2 linked regions of the Arabidopsis thaliana genome follow. The protein of the gene in region 2 interacts with the protein of the main gene of each other region in a pairwise test. Each region holds a gene or a part of one and is shown on either strand. Other genes may lie near its edges.

Region 1 (8,281 bases), on a different chromosome or scaffold from region 2:
TCGTCTAATAGATGGAATCTTGATCGTTTTGATCGTTAACAGGTTCAAAATATAGAAATCGAGACCAGAATCTACCAGTAGGAGACAATTCCCGGAGCTAGCCATACAATATCTTCCGTTCAAGCGACGACGGAGGACTCTTGTTTTGAAACTTTCGTCTTCTTTGTGATCAAACAACGTTAAGGTATGTGACCTGCCATGGACGCAGAGACTGACTCACGCATGTTTTCCAAACGGAATACCAATCTGAACAAACGGTTTTTGCTCGATGAAAATCAATAGAGCTCAAGCTTTCCAGGATCGGTCGCAAAAGATCAGGACAAAGCTTGGACCAATCTTGATTTTCAGAAGCTCCTTGTCTCTTCTCTTCTTTCACCAAATCGTTCGGCGTCTCCATGTCTGCGCTTACGTGCCTCACACTCTAGTTGACCTAATGTTTGGATTTAGGGTTAAGAACCACGGAAACCCTAATTAATGCGAGACGTATATATTTATACTGACGATATAACATCAAAACCCATCGATTAAAATTTAACCAATGATATATTTGAACATGTTGCTCACTTTACCTTCATACAAGAGTACCGTATCTTACAAGTTTATAAACCAAAGTTGTGAAGCTTTTAGTCTGTAGATGTTTCTGTGGAATGCATTTTTAGTCATTTTCGATGTCCCGATGAGGCCATCAGAACCGCGACTGCAGCTATGAACATAAATAGCATACTGATAAGAAGTGTATATGTTTTTCTTGATGATCTTTTGTATTCTCCAAACAGCAGTATCCCCCAAAATGTTTATTTTCAATCTTTAAATCATTGAACAGAAAAGAGGTCTTAAACCTGAACAGCTCCTGCAGCAGCATAACCAGCGGCTTGACCGCCCATAAACTGAAGACCATTACCAAATCCACAGAGAAATCCAGCCAAGAAAGACCAGCCTCGACCGTTCCAGTCATTTAGGTAAGCCTTGAAAGATGATCTTGGGAGACCAAGTATAGGCCAATAGAGAAATATGATGTTTAGTATCAGACCAACCCCAAATGAAGAGATGGAGAAGTAGAAGAAGGCTGTGTACACATTGAGTTTTGGAACTCCATGTTTCAAAGTGTGCCAACTCCATGTTTCAAAGTGTGCCATTGATCGTTTGTCGCTAAGCTTACTGCAGGTGAGATTAGAGAGAAACAGATACCGGCAAAGAATGTTATCGCCAGTCCAATTATTGTGCTTTTCCCAAAAACCTGTCAACGCAAATCTTGAGTATCAGTGAATATCAGTTATTTCTGTTTAGGAAAATGCTGTGTGTATTATTATTAACCTTTATGGCTCTTTGTTTCTCAACCTCAATAAGAAAATCTGCAGTCCCTACTTTTGCTTTTCCTTCTTTTATAGAACTTGTTTCCATTTGGAAGGAAGAAGTAGTCTCTAAACTGAAACAAGATCAGATTAGGTTAAAAACCAAACCAAAAGAAAACAAAACAAAGACCTAGTATAGTGAATCTTTTTTTAACCTTTTGAATCCTTGGAGTTTGGATTTGTTATCAGCTGCATTTGATTTATGAACAGCAGAACCGAAACAAACAGCGATCAAGAAACAAGCGACCCCCGGGAAAAGGACCTCAGCTCTGTTGATTCTATCATCCAAGAAATAGTTCAAAGTTGTGCCTGTTGTTGAAAACAAAAGAGTTAATAAGAACAGAGGAAAAAAATCAGTTAAGAGTAGTTGAAGAGAAGAGTTTACCGATAACAACGGCGATACTAGCTGTGATGACTTCAGTGACAGATAACCCAACAAAAGCCCAAGCATATTGTGTTGCTAAGGTCCCAAGGCTAAGAAATATTCCTCCAGCCATTGCAAACATCACAGACGGCCAATTATCCTGTGACAAAAAAACTTTGCATTTCAAAAACCAACAACAAATATGTGTATGAATGTATGTGTAACTGACTTGAGAAAGCTGTGTGGTGAAATTTGGTCTGCTTGGACTTATTTCGCCTAGTGTAAACGCTATGATAACTGCAGCTAACAGGTTTGTCAGTGTGTAGTCAAGATAAGTATGTTGAGGAAGTCTACCGCGTCTTTCGGTTAGAGTCATGATTGCTGGCCATGTCCCTAAGAAGAGCAGAGCCAAGAGCATACAAGTGATTGTTCCTCCTTTGCTCTCTATCACATACATTTTATAAAATCACCAAATCCCACTGCATCAAAGTAAAGAAGTGAGATTCTTCTGTTATCATATCATTGATCTCTCGTGATAAAAATGAAGCTAGTTGTCTTAAGAAAGGTTCTTTAGAACATTAACACAAGACACATGCTGATACAAGAAGATCTCTATAAAACTCAAACCTTATATTCCATTAAATTTCCCTATTGACTAGGTTTCTTGAAAGAGATTACCTTATTAAAGCTTTTGTCTTAACTTTGACTTTGAGGAAGACCAGAGAACAACAGATACAGAAGAAAAAAAACTTAGTCTCTCATTTGATTGGCAGATCCAGATTCAGGAAGAAGTTAGTTTCCCATTTTCTATAAAATAAATAAATCTCAAGTTGCCATAAACTATAGTTTTCTTTCTCTGATGTGTAAACAAAGACAATACAACCAATTGTTGTTAGCAAAGCCCTAAGACAGAAACCAACAAAGAAAACACTTTGGTTAAATATAAACAAAGACTTGAACATGTTGCAGCCATTGGTGAAGTAACTCTTCCTTCAATGGATCCTTTTAGCAGTTTAACTTGAAGAAGTTTCAGTGAATTTCATTTTCTATGTCCCGAGGAAGCCATAAGAACCGCGACAGCGACTATGAACATAAGAAGCATACTGATGAGAAGTGTATATGTTTTTCTTGATGATCTTCTATATTCTCCAAACAACAATATCCCCCAAAATGTACTCACAAGTGGAAGTGCCTGAAACATATTCAAATCATAATAAGTAAAACATATTTCACTCTTAAATCATGGAACAGAGGATTTGTTTATTGTCTAAACCTGAACAGCGTCTGCAGCTGCATAGCCTGCGGCTTGACCACCCATGAACTGAAGACCATTGCCAAATCCACATAGAAATCCAGCCAAGAAAGACCAGCCTCGACCGTTCCAGTCATTCAAATAAGCCTTGAAAGAAGATCTTGGGAGACCAAGTATAGGCCAATAGAGAAATCTGATGTTAAGTATCAGAGCAACTACAAATGCAGAGATGGAGAAGTAGAAGAAGGCAGTGTACACATTTAGTTTTGGAACTCCATGTTTTAATGTGTGCCATTGATCGTTTGTTGCTAAGTTGAATGCAGGTGAGAACAGAGAAAAGCAGATACCGGCAAAGAAAGTTATCACCAATCCGATTATTGTGCTTTTGCCAAAGACCTGTCCTCAATGCCAATCATGAATCTTCAGAGAACATATATACATATCAGTTATATCTGTTAGGGTAAAGGAAGAGTAGTATGTTTCAACCTTTATAGCTCTTTGCTTCTCAAGCTCTATGAGAAAAGCTGCAGTCCCTTCTTTCGCTTTCCCTTTTGTTAACCCGTTGCTTGCAGAAATTGTTTCCATTTCGAAGGAAGAAGTAGTCTCTAAACTGAAACAAGATCAAGATTAGTACCAAACCAAACCAAACGGAAACAACAATAGATATGAATCTTTTTCAAACCTTTTGAAATTTTGGAGTTTGGTTTTGTTATCAGCAGCATTGGATTTATGAACAGCGGAACCGAAACAAACAGCGATCAAGAAACAAGCGACCCCCGGGAAAAGGACCTCAGCTCTGTTGATTCTATCATCCAAGAAATAGTTCAAAGTTGTGCCTGTACTAGAAAACAGAAATGGTCATAAGAACAGAGAAGAAACAGAGGAAAAAATCAGTTAAGAGTAGTTGAAGAAAGAAGAGTGTACCGATAACAACAGTGATACTAGCTGTGATGACTTCAGTAACTGATAAACCAACATAAGCCCAAGCATATTGTGTTGCTAAGTTTCCAAGGCTAAGAACTATTCCTCCAGCCATTGCAAACATCACTGACTGCCAATTATCCTATGATAAAAAAAAAAACCGCGGTTATACAATAGTTTTCGACAAGATGTCTAAGGAGAAGTAAGAAGATGTGACTGACTTGAGAGAGCTGTGTAAAGAAATTTGGTCTGCTCGGACCTATTTCTCCTAGTGTCAACGCTATGATCACTGCAGCTAACAGATTTGTGAGTGTGTAGTCAAGATAAGTGTGTTGAGGAAGTCGACCGCGTCTTTCGGTTAGAGTCATGATTGCTGGCCATGTCCCTAAGAAGAGAAGAGCCAAGAGCATACATGCAATTGCTCCTCCTTTGCTCTCTATCATATACATCTTTCTATCTCTCTTTTATATACTTATAAAAATCATGAAAAAAACTCTGCACCAAACAAGATTCTTTTGGTTATCTGATCTTCGACACACATTAATGATCGATCAAACTCAAATTGAGGATTGTGATCTTTAGACAACCGCAAAGGCAAGGCAAGAGTCAAAATCTATTGGGTTTCTAGAGAAGCAATGAAGAACAGAGAGAGTACTAAAAAGTAAACATCTTTGACTAATAATGAGTTTCTTGAAAGAGATTATTATTACCTTTTGGAAGCTTCTGTTCTAACTCTAACAAAGAACAAAGACAGAACAAGAGAGAACAACTTTTGATTCTTCCCTTTGGGGAGATTCAGAATAATTGCTAGTGGCTCTCATATTATTGGCAGATTCGGATTCCATGAGATATGACACCTTCCTCGATATATTTTTCAAGATAATTTTGTAGTATAAAATAAATAAAATGAATCTCGAGTTGCGTTCCGATTAGGTTCCTAGTTGATCATAAGTCAACGGCTGACACAATCTTGTCTTAAAATCATTATAAAAAAAAAAATTCAAAACAAAAAGGTGAAGTAAAAGTATGTAACAATAATCAATAATCTTGATGTAGTGGCGCAAAGTATACTGATAAAGCTTGCTGTTCTTGTAAGCTAAATCCCCAAACATCGGAGCTGATGTCCCATACTTATCATTCCAGTTCCACCAAGAATCATCTCCTTTCTTGTATGTGAACAAATAACTGTTGTGTAAAGTCCAAGCAATTAAATAATCCACTGTCCTCTCATCTATCCAAGACCAACTGATCTTGTTATTCCCAACATGTGTTTGGACACGCAATACTTACCAAAAGGATGGAGGACGAACCATCCCCACTTGCCTTGTCTATTATAGTATCTGCTTGGCTCGAATCTTATTTTTCCACCGCGAACTGACGACTCCATTGACGGAAGATTGATCTTTAATAAGATTCGAATCAAGACGAGACTTGTTAAAGTTTCAAATCCTTAAACTCTAGAAACTCTAGATCGTAATGATAGAATCGATTACGTAACTACAAAGAGAAGATAAGAATCGTTATGTTTAGATCAACATAGATATAAGCAACCGATGACCAAGAGATCAACATTGATCTCTTCCTCTGGCACATCACAAGGCCAATTCTCTCTCGAGAAATATCACAACATAAAAAGCATAAAATCCCCAGATAAGAACAGAGTCAGTATTTATAGAAGAAGAGTTTCAAGGCCTCTAACTGGAAAGAGTATTTGCCCTCATTTGTTAAGTCAACTCAGTCAACACAGTAGTTGACTTCCTCTTTTCTCTTCTCAGCTTCGCTTAGCCCAATCTTCTCAGCTTCTTTCTCTAGTAGTCGACCTTATAAACCTATCAAGAATCTACCATCAAGAGCCAGTTTCCGGAGCTAGCCATATAATAGCTATTGTCAGAGAGTCCGAGGAGTTTTGTCCCGTAAATCTTGTCTTCACCGGGATCAAACAAACTGGAAGAATCATCATCGTAGTATATGATCCGCCATGGATACAGAGGCCGTTTCACGCATGTTTTCCAAACGAAATACCAATCTGAGCAAACGAGTTTTGCTTGGTGGTAGTCAATAGAGTTCAAGCTTTCAATGATTTTTCGCAAAAGGTCAAGACAAAGCTTGGACCAGTCGTGATGATGAGATACTTTTGGTCAGTTTTCTTCTCTCATCAAATCGTTACGCGCATCCACCTTGATGATCTTTAGGTAAATAAAGATCAATATTTTCATGGTCTTTTGCAAAGATCGCGCGGGACAAATTAAAGTTTGGACCAACCGTGATTATCAAACACTTTTGGTCTTTTCTCTTCTCTCATCGACATATCCATGTCTGCGCCTACTTGCCCTATACGCTAAAGTAACTAAGGTTTTGTTTTAGGGATTAGAACGAACGCCTATTAAGTTTAACTATTTTTATACATTTACATATAAGTAAGGTTCCCTCAAACTCATACCGTAAAAAACTGACAAGTGGTGTTTGATTCATTTGACATATGTCATTCCTCTCAAATTTAAATATACTATTTTTATATTTACTCAATCTAATAATAGTTTTATACTAAACAAATCTATTGAATTATTCTAGTGAATAACTTCCCTGCATATTAGATCTTCTCGATAGCCAGATAGTTGGTGGTCGTATATCAGCTAAAGAGCTTACTTTTGTTGTTGTCTTAATATTTTTGCAATGCTCTTTTTACAATGAGAAATTCCTAAAAATAGCATTAAAACTGGTTTTATGGACAATAATAGCACACATTCCATAAACTTTCAAAAATAGCACTACTTGACTTATTATGAAGTTTTTTTCTAAAAGTATTATCACTAATTTATTTTTTGAATAATATCATAATTTTTATATAAAATCTATTCAACCAAAATAAATTAGAAATAAATTAAAATATTATATTTGGATTCTCTATTTTCAATTTAGGGTATATATTTCAACCATTTAAAAACAAATTGATTCATTTTAATATTAGTTTATGGTATTATATTTGAGTTCCCTATTTCTAATTTAGGGTATATATTTTCACCATTTAAAGGAGATTTTTCATTTTAATATTAGTTTGTGGTATTATATTTGGGTTATCTATTTCTAATTTAGGATATATATTTCTACAATTGTTTTATTCAATTTAATATTAGATTAGTGTTTGCTCTCATTTTTATTTTCAATCTTATATTTTAGTTAAGTTTAATTGAACTTTATCGTGCTATTTGTGAAATCTCAGAAATATTGTGCTAATTTTGGAAAAAAACTCTTTTTTGGTGCTATTTTTGTCAATTGTCTTTTTATAATTAACTAGATAAGGCCCGCCTAAATAGGCGGGTGAGAAAAAAAAAATGCTAATTTTAATTTATGATATATGAGCTCTAAATCGTAGTTAACACACTTTTTATATTTAATATAATATTTAAAAGAAAAAACAAATTTCAATCTTACACATTCTATTTTGCTAATTTTAACTAAAGAAAATATTTATTTTAGGATAGGTGTATCATGAATACGAACATCAGATTTCTCAAAAAATATTATATAGCCAATTACATCGGTATGACAAAACAACATTAAATTTAAATAAATCTATACTTACTTAAAATTTGAAATTTGAAATTCAGTATATGTACCTATAACTGTTGTGTCATATCTTACAATTTTGCAAAATCCTTGTTTTGTTTTGCTAATTTTAACTAAAGAAAATATTTATTTTATGATAGATGTATCATGAATACGAACATCAGATTTATCAAAAATATTTGTTTAATATATAAATTTATAAACATTAAACAACTTATTGAAATTTGAAATTTGAAATTTGAAATTCAGTATATGTATTGTCTAATTGTTGTGTCATATCTTTCCATTTTGCAAAATCCTTGTTTTGATTACACATTTGTTTATAAATTTATCTTCTTTACTTTTGAATCTTTTTTATTATTTAATTATAAGAGACATAGTTTTTTGGGAAATTCTTCAAAATAGCACTAAAACAAGTTTTATGGACAATAATAGCACACACTCCATAAACTTCCAAAAATAGCACTAATTGACTTACTCTAAAGTTTTTGTTCTAAAAATATTATCACTAATTTACTTTTTGAGAAATTCCCACAAATAGCACACTTTTAAGTTTTTTGAAAAAAATAGCATTAAAAAGTTTTTTAGACATAAATAGCACTCAAATAATTATTTGAGAAATTCTTAAAAGTAACACAAAAACAAGTTTTATGGACAATAATAATACCACAATTTTATATAAAAATATATTCAACCAAAATAAATTAGAAATAAATTTAAAATATTATATTTGGGTTCTCTATTTCTAATTTAGGGTATATATTTCCAACTATTTAAAAGAAATTTTGATTCATTTTAATATTAGTTTATGGTATTATATATGGG
Region 2 (8,504 bases):
TAGGGGACTATTTGTTGGAAATCTCATATCTCCACGAAAACTTGTCTACATTAGCAGATGCAAACTCTTTGAAGTGAAACCTCAAAGCCAACCAAGCAGCTGCAGATGAAAAGATGCAAACTTTTCAATTTCGATTAACACTAGAGTGTTCATCTCATATAGAATAATCAACACAGTAACCAAAGTAAGAGAAAATAAAATGTAGATATCTCTGTTCGGACATTAAAGCAAGAATCTTGATAACGAATTTAAACTAGAGCTACATAAAGTCGTCTCCGACAACAAAATTAGGTCAAAAGCTAAAATCCCAATCTGAGCCAAATAAAAATTACATAAATGAAATGTCAAAGATTAGCGAAAATAACAAAACTTTACCATAACAACATACATTACCTCGAAATGGAAAAAAAGAAAACCAAAGGCAGAGCAAAGCAGAGCAGAGAGTTCAAAAAAAGAAGACGATGGTGGGCCTTGAGACTTTAGATCTGACGAATCAGATAGACGAAACCCAGATTTGATTTAGGGTTTGCTTTTTGCACGACAGACAAACCCTGAGCTAAAAGAACAGAGATGCAATAAAAGGGAGAGGATCTGGGAAAGTTACAAATGACGATTGTAAGGAACCAAAAAGTTTTGAGGGATTCAACGAAACTTTTTTATTCTTTTTTATAAAAGAGTTTAAACAAAAAAGTCAGATTTTTTATTGTGTTTGTCGGGTAAAGGATGAATGTTCATGCGACGACACCAATTACTATGTGTCTTTTTTTTTTTGGTTTCTTTTGCGCCAAATCGATGTTTGTACTACTGTCGTAAAATGGTGGATCCGACCCGCTACGTGTACTGCTTGGCTAGCCCTTGCGAGATGAGTTCCAAACCCGATTTACAAGGTTGTTTGTTTATATAAGGCCCATGGAAAGCCCAATATTATATCATTCTACTTCTTTTGAGATATGGCCCAACAAAAATTTAGTTACATTTGGACAAGAGACAAAATAAAACAGCTTTGGTTTATACATCTTCTTCCCTTTGTTTTTTTTCTTTGTTGCCAACAGAATCTTGTAAAAACATTGGTATTTACGTATATGGATAGGGCTGAAACTCCTTGTAGCGCTTTCCTTTCGGCATTACACATGACAACTAAGAGCAAGTCCAGTGATTAGTTTCTAAACAAAGTTTCTATGTATTTTTTATTAATAAATTTGGATAGTTTTGTAGTTTAGAGATTTTTTAGAGTTTTTGAAAATTTTATGGTCCATTGGTGGAATCTTTTAAGTTGGTTTCTAAAACAAAAAAAAATTGAAAAAAAAAAAAATTGTTGATATTTTTATTTGATTAAACATGATTATTATTAGGAATTATAAAATTTTAAATGTGACTCCAATCCAATTACAAAATGTGGAGGAGTGATTCCATGAAGCCATGACCTCTCTCTTGTTGTTTCCAGAAACTTGAGACTTGAACTCAAGCAAAGCTTGAAACAGCTTCATGTCGATTATAAAAAGATAAAGAAAGGCTCTTCTGCTTCAACATAAAACCAGAAAATGAAAGGAAGTTTTAGGGGCTAATTAAATGTGGTCCAAAATTATTGAAAATGGTCACAAACAAACAAATTGGTTGCCAATGATATAATACATTCCAAAGAGCACGCCAAGCTTGTGTGTATAAATCACACGAGTTGTGTTGTACAAGAAGACACATACCTTGCTATTACAAGGCTCTATGACTTCTGAGCTTGCATCAAGCTCATCTTTAAGAAACTGCAGGAAGAGAACAGCTTCAACATGATCACGAAAGGGGAAAATATTAAGAACCAATTCAGATATTGCTTTCCTTCAGATTCCTATCACTAGCAAGAGGTTTGAGGAAAGCTCGGGTGAGAATCAACATAATTTGGATATATCTCATGTTTCCAGCTCTCAAGAGATTCTGGAATCTTCCCAGATAACTCTCTATGCTGCAGTGTATATCCTCCAACTGCAATACAAATCATTTAAAAACATGACTCCACATATGGCCTGAAACAGAGGACCCAATAGCAATGCAAAAGTCCATCCAAACAACATGTGCTCAGAAAGCTGATGAAACTGAAATTTATATATGTGCCACTGTTAGTTTTGCATCGTGCATACTGAGAAAAGTGTCAGCCAAATTGTGAGCCTCGTCTATGATAACAACACTATTTTTCAAGCTTGGTTCGTACTATTCTTACATTTGCACCTAAATTCTGAAATGTTTCCATTAGTTAGCAAAAATCTTTCTTTTATTCTACTTAGCTAAATGACCATTAACAATGACGAAACAAGCAGATATTCATTTAATTTGGAAGCTTTGTATTCAGAGGCTACCAGCAATGCAAGACGGAACACACTTTCATAGATAGATAAATCTTCTCATAATACAAGTTGATAACATGTACCTTCTTTTTAGAGACTTGAGATATCTTCTTCTTTTGCAAGTCCAAGCACCTCTCGTCGATTTGGTTAGAAGAATCGATTTGGGGAACAAAATCTAGCTCGATCATCATCCCGTTGGTTGAAACACTCGTTTAGGTGGATGATTTTTCATGATTTCATGAACAAATCACTAGATCTTCAGCGTCGATTCCAATCGTCTTTGGTGTCTCCGTAGGCGAAGAAGAAGAAGAAGAAATAAATAAACGCGTGTGGTTTTTTTTTTTTGGTTTTGTCATTCAGTTTACCCAATAAAATGAGGTCACGTATGAGTTTCTATTGGGTCGCGAAAAACTAATTTTAGGAACGATCCTAAATGGATTCAGCTGTTTTTCTATTATCTGGGCCCATTTTTACATAAAAACCCATCTAAGAAATCTACTAAAAACCCTTACTTGACTTGCTCTAAGTTTTCACCAACGGATTGTCAACGTACCGTACTTTTTTTTTTTTTTTTTTTTTTTAGTCAAACCCAATACTTTCCATTCCAAATCAAACAAAAACAAGAGTACCCGGGTCAAGCCCGATATTACCAGAAATACAAAGGGAGAGCTTAGCCGCAGCATCAGCAATCGAATTAACTAAGCGAGGGATAAATTGAAAGGAGATAGAGCGGAATCTGTTTCGAATAGATCGAATTTCCACTAGAAGGCCAAATATCTCATTGAGGGAGACATTGGAGTTCAAAGCATCAACTATGGATTTTGAGTCCGATAACACAAGGAGATCGGATCTTTCCAGTTGTAAAGCATGTAGCATCGCCGATTTGATAGCCCAAGCCTCCGCCGCTAAGGGCGAGGGGAACCGACGGCATCCGGCTGAGAAGGTGGTAATTTCTTTCTCCGAGTGTGAGGTTGCTTGGAACACCCAGCCAGAGCCAGCGAGGGAGCTCTGTTGTTGCCAAGCCGCATCCACGTAGCAGAGAAAATCATGAGTCAGAGTTGTTGTGGAGTTTGGGCGGGGGGTCGCTACACGAACTTTTGGGAGCGCCAATTGGGCGGATTGCCACGCTAAGGCATCCTGAACCGCCTTTGTAACAGTCTCTATCACAGAGAAATGAGAATTTTGGAAGATAAGCTGATTTCTGGCTTTCCAGATGTGCCAACAGATCCAGGGGAAGAGGGTTGCTGTATGAATCCCAACCGGGGGGAGAACGATGGTTTTCTTAAGTAAGTTAAGAGCTTCCAAAATAGGGGTACCGATAGGGATGTGACCCAATTGGAGGGGCGCTAGGTTCCAAACTTGTGCCGCAAAATCACAGTGAAACAGCATGTGGGTGGAAGTCTCCGGAGCCCCACAGCGTGCACAATCCCAAGTTGATGATATATGCCTTCTTACGAGTTGTGCACCCACAGGGAGAGCTCCTGCAGCCGCCTTCCATAGGAAAAGTTTGATCTTCGGCATAGTGTGGAGTTTCCAAAGGTTTGCTTGCCAGTTAAAGCGGACCTGAGCTGTTGGTAGCACTGTCAAGGATGTTACCCCGTAACCTGATCTTGAGGTATACTCTCCAGATTTTACCGGTAACCAGACCAATTTATCCACACCCCTACTTGAGGGCACAGGGAGCTGTCTGATGAGCTGTTCATAGTCAGGTAGGAGGTCAACGTACCGTACTTTAATGGTGTAATATGCGACATTTATTATGTGTCATTTTAGATATCTGATTCTGTCTCGACAATTGGGATGGGCATTTTATGGATATAGTTAGAATGGGATTTTATTCGAAGGAATATTTTGTGGATATATTTTAAAATAATCCACTAAAAAATCAGGTTTATGTTGGTCAAAATCCATATTTAATACGACAAAATACAACATTGAATTCATTAATTGTGCACAAATTACGGATTGTGAGATAAGACTATAAGAGTGAAAGAAACGATAAGAAGTAATGAAGACTCAAAATCGTACATAATTGAAATTAGTGAAATTTATGGTTTGGTTTACATGTTTTTGTAAACCGTTAAAATAGTAGTAAAATATAATACAAACATGTAAATCCACATAATTTTGTATTTGATGCGATACTAATAACAAAATGTTGTAGATATATCATAATATTTAGTTGATACAACAATATATATATATAGATTCACATCAATACATCATTATAACTCAATGTTAATGATTTAATTTCCCGATTAATGAATCATGTGCATGTGAGGATTTGAGAAGATAAATGAGCAAGATAGAAGAGAGGATATAGCTATGCAAGAGGCCAAGATCTGAAGGAAATATCTCTCTGTTTTACTCATCTAATTTTAATCAGTTACCTAATTTCGATTATTCGTAGTGTCGTTAATGTAGGTAAATCCTCTTTTCAACATGCGGACCAATTTTTGTTTCCGGAATAAGCAATAGTGGTTACACATTCAAAATCAAAGTCAAAAGAAATAAATCCTCGTAATAGAAGATTCTCTTAATAAATAAGATTCAACGTACAAAGATGCTCTTTCCATATAAACATCGATATTTGTGTATATAATACATGTAAGTACGTGATTGTGAGGGAGTACTCTAATAAGACGACCTCTGTCAATAACTCTCTTCCCCTCTCTTCTCTCCTCTGGTTCAGTGGTTCTCTCACAATGATGGACGCATACAACAATCCCTCGGCGGTGGAGTCGGGTGACGCCGCCGTGAAAAGCGTCGACGACGATGGTCGAGAGAAGAGAACGGGAACATTTTGGACGGCGAGTGCGCACATAATCACGGCGGTCATAGGCTCAGGGGTGCTGTCGTTGGCTTGGGCTATAGCACAGCTTGGTTGGGTGGCAGGAACCACAGTTTTGGTCGCTTTCGCCATCATTACTTACTACACGTCCACCTTGCTCGCCGACTGTTACCGTTCGCCGGACTCCATCACCGGAACACGCAACTATAATTACATGGGCGTCGTCCGATCTTACCTTGGTATGGATTCATATAAACAAATTCATTTTGTGTCTTTATCAGCATTGTTTTTCACAGATTTTTCAGTTTTCTAGACATTTTTTCTCAGATGAACAAGGATTTTGTTCATTTGATATCATTTAGATTTTGCCTAACTAGTCTCAATTTAGGACATGTGTTTTGATTTTCTTCCATTTCTGTCACAATGATGATGGCTGGCGAAAGAAAAAAAATCTGATCTAAAAATATATATTTAATGCTAAGTTGGAATTTGTAAATCTACAGTATAATTGGCTCATTTCAACAATTTTTTACCATGTAAATTTGTTGAAGAACATTATTGTTGTTGAACAATGAAAGAAAAAAATATGGTTGTTAGAAAAAAATGATTTACGATTTTGCCAAGTGTGCATGCTCTTTCATGGGAAGATATGAATTAATTATCAAAATCTATATAAAAAAAAGGAAGATAATCTTCATTCTTTCATAACTTAGTTAATAAATTAAATTGATTAGGATTGGTAACATAGTCAATTCAATTTATCCCGTTAAAGAATGTTATAAATTCGATTGTTGACCCCTCGTTGAAAATTTGGAATTATGCGGGATGTTTAGAAACTTTGCCATAAGACCAAAAGATTGGTAGTATTTGATAGTAGTACAAGAGTAATCATTTTTCTTCTTTAATAACATAAAACGCAGGTGGTAAAAAGGTTCAGCTATGTGGAGTGGCACAGTACGTGAATCTCGTAGGGGTCACTATTGGTTACACCATCACTGCCTCCATAAGCTTAGTGTAAGTCAAAGATTCTGATTTATTTCGATTATTTTGTTATGGTTATACTAACATGTTGTTCTGAATAAAATTACTAATAATTGTTTGATTGGTGTTTTTGTACGTCTTCGTTAGAGCGATTGGGAAATCAAATTGTTATCATGACAAGGGACATAAAGCGAAATGTTCTGTATCGAATTATCCATACATGGCGGCATTTGGGATCGTCCAGATCATTCTGAGCCAGCTTCCTAACTTCCACAAGCTCTCTTTCCTATCCATCATCGCCGCGGTTATGTCCTTCTCTTATGCGTCTATCGGAATAGGCCTAGCCATCGCTACTGTAGCAAGTACATTCCCCTTCTTTATCTTAAAACATAGTGGTTTATATGGATGATTCTTCAAAGTTGACACTAACCGTGAAAATGGTATACAATATATATGAAAGGTGGGAAGATTGGTAAGACAGAATTGACAGGGACAGTGATAGGTGTGGACGTAACTGCGTCTGAAAAAGTTTGGAAATTGTTTCAAGCGATTGGAGACATTGCCTTTTCATACGCTTTTACCACTATTCTCATCGAGATTCAGGCATGTACTACTGATTCCTACTATCTTCCGTTTACTATTGTTTTCATTTGCTTGTTATTATTAATTTCGCCAAAGAGAGGTAAAATAAGAATACCTTGAAGATAAGATGTTATTATTAATTAGACAGTTAGGAAAAAATATAGATGGATGGATGATGGATAAAAATAGTTTCATATTTTAGATATGTGAAGCTCTAAAGATAGTGACGCTCTAGTAGTATGTCTTGTTTATTTTGCAGGACACATTGAGATCAAGCCCACCAGAGAACAAAGTGATGAAACGAGCAAGTCTTGTCGGAGTCTCAACCACAACTGTTTTCTACATCTTGTGTGGTTGCATCGGATATGCTGCGTTCGGCAACCAAGCCCCTGGTGACTTCCTTACCGATTTTGGTTTTTACGAACCTTATTGGCTCATCGACTTTGCCAATGCTTGCATTGCTCTCCATCTAATAGGTGCCTATCAGGTATAACTCACAAACAAAAGAATAGGATAAGTGTGTAACATACATTTACCGTGTTCAAGTTCATTAAAAGTCTCATTATTGTGTTAGAATTTTTAGCTTTAACAATTCAGAAGATTGTAGAAATGGAGTTATTACTAAATATTGTTTCTAAAAAATGCTCTTTTTTTTTTTTTATCCCTGTATTATTCGCAGGTGTATGCGCAGCCGTTTTTCCAGTTTGTTGAGGAAAACTGCAACAAAAAATGGCCTCAAAGCAATTTCATCAACAAAGAATACTCGTCAAAGGTTCCTTTGCTTGGAAAATGTCGTGTCAACCTCTTCAGACTGGTTTGGAGGACATGCTATGTTGTTTTGACAACATTTGTAGCAATGATATTCCCCTTCTTCAATGCGATCTTGGGTTTGCTAGGGGCATTCGCGTTCTGGCCACTCACAGTTTATTTTCCGGTGGCAATGCACATTGCGCAGGCTAAAGTCAAGAAGTATTCTCGTAGATGGTTGGCCTTGAACCTCCTCGTATTGGTTTGCTTGATCGTCTCGGCCCTTGCCGCCGTAGGATCCATCATTGGCTTAATTAATAGTGTCAAGTCATACAAGCCCTTCAAGAATTTAGACTAGTGTGACTTATAATCTATGTTTGCCAAAAAAAAACCTTGTGATCCATATGAATTATATGAAATTTATTTCATGCTAAATATTTAGTACTTAATGTTTCTCCAAATAATGTGACGTTCTGTTTTCAGCTATGTTAAAAACCAAAATGCTAACTTATGTATTAGTACTAAAATTTATGAAAATGTATTAGTTATTGATTTATTTTTAGGACTACAATTATTGAATCAACATTGGATGTTTGAGTCCCATGAGATATGGATTTCAGCTTTTTTCAAATTCGTGTGGTTGTGTCAATTTCGAGTTATTATTATTTATTTTGCTTAATGGAATTGTCGGGGAAATCTTGAAAACAGACACTCACAGATTGTGTAATTTATTTGGTTTGGTGTGTCCTACATAAGTTGCTATCACATCTTATGTATTGGAGGAGTTGGGCAATAGAGGATCAAGGCAAGTTTGGTTTTCTATTAACGTTTCTACTCTGCATTTGCTTACAAAGTCATTTTCAAGGTTTTGTGGTCGTATGTCACTTGATGGCTACCATCATAACCGCCATGTAACCAAACAATTGCCTTGCGGTTACCTACCCATATGGCGCATCTAACCAAGAGATGCATCCCCTAATCCTGGTCATTTGTCATTGCACTTCTAGCTGATTGTTCAATAGAATAATTTCAATTAAGTTCGAACCCAATCATTCATATTTCATGACTAG

What was found. The genes of interacting proteins can lie anywhere in the genome.
Region 1: the proteins of AAP8 (region 2) and UPS1 interact in a protein complementation assay, tested with the Arabidopsis thaliana proteins (one large-scale study listed by BioGRID).

What each region holds. Positions count from the first base shown.
Region 1 is NC_003071.7:1,091,186-1,099,466, reverse strand, and holds UPS1 (ureide permease 1), read right to left. Parts: upstream 4,766-8,281; 5' UTR 4,339-4,765; coding exon 4,111-4,338; intron 4,032-4,110; coding exon 3,893-4,031; intron 3,805-3,892; coding exon 3,651-3,804; intron 3,579-3,650; coding exon 3,455-3,578; intron 3,365-3,454; coding exon 2,990-3,364; intron 2,909-2,989; coding exon 2,756-2,908; 3' UTR 2,491-2,755; downstream 1-2,490. Other genes in the region: AT2G03610 (F-box family protein), read right to left, coding at 221-397; UPS3 (ureide permease 3), read right to left, coding at 834-1,223, 1,315-1,426, 1,508-1,661, 1,738-1,876, 1,946-2,173; AT2G03580 (F-box family protein-like protein), read right to left, coding at 4,986-5,074, 5,180-5,291, 5,734-5,915, 6,152-6,203. UniProt on the Arabidopsis thaliana protein: Proton-coupled transporter that transports a wide spectrum of oxo derivatives of heterocyclic nitrogen compounds, including allantoin, uric acid and xanthine, but not adenine.
Region 2 is NC_003070.9:3,260,935-3,269,438, forward strand, and holds AAP8 (amino acid permease 8), read left to right. Parts: upstream 1-4,951; 5' UTR 4,952-5,038; coding exon 5,039-5,363; intron 5,364-6,044; coding exon 6,045-6,138; intron 6,139-6,252; coding exon 6,253-6,467; intron 6,468-6,565; coding exon 6,566-6,708; intron 6,709-6,946; coding exon 6,947-7,174; intron 7,175-7,366; coding exon 7,367-7,792; 3' UTR 7,793-7,889; downstream 7,890-8,504. Other genes in the region: AT1G09995 (DNA repair DEAD helicase RAD3/XP-D subfamily protein), read right to left, coding at 1,816-1,974, 2,417-2,524; AT1G10000 (Ribonuclease H-like superfamily protein), read right to left, coding at 2,943-3,854. UniProt on the Arabidopsis thaliana protein: Amino acid-proton symporter. Stereospecific transporter with a broad specificity for glutamate, aspartate and neutral and acidic amino acids.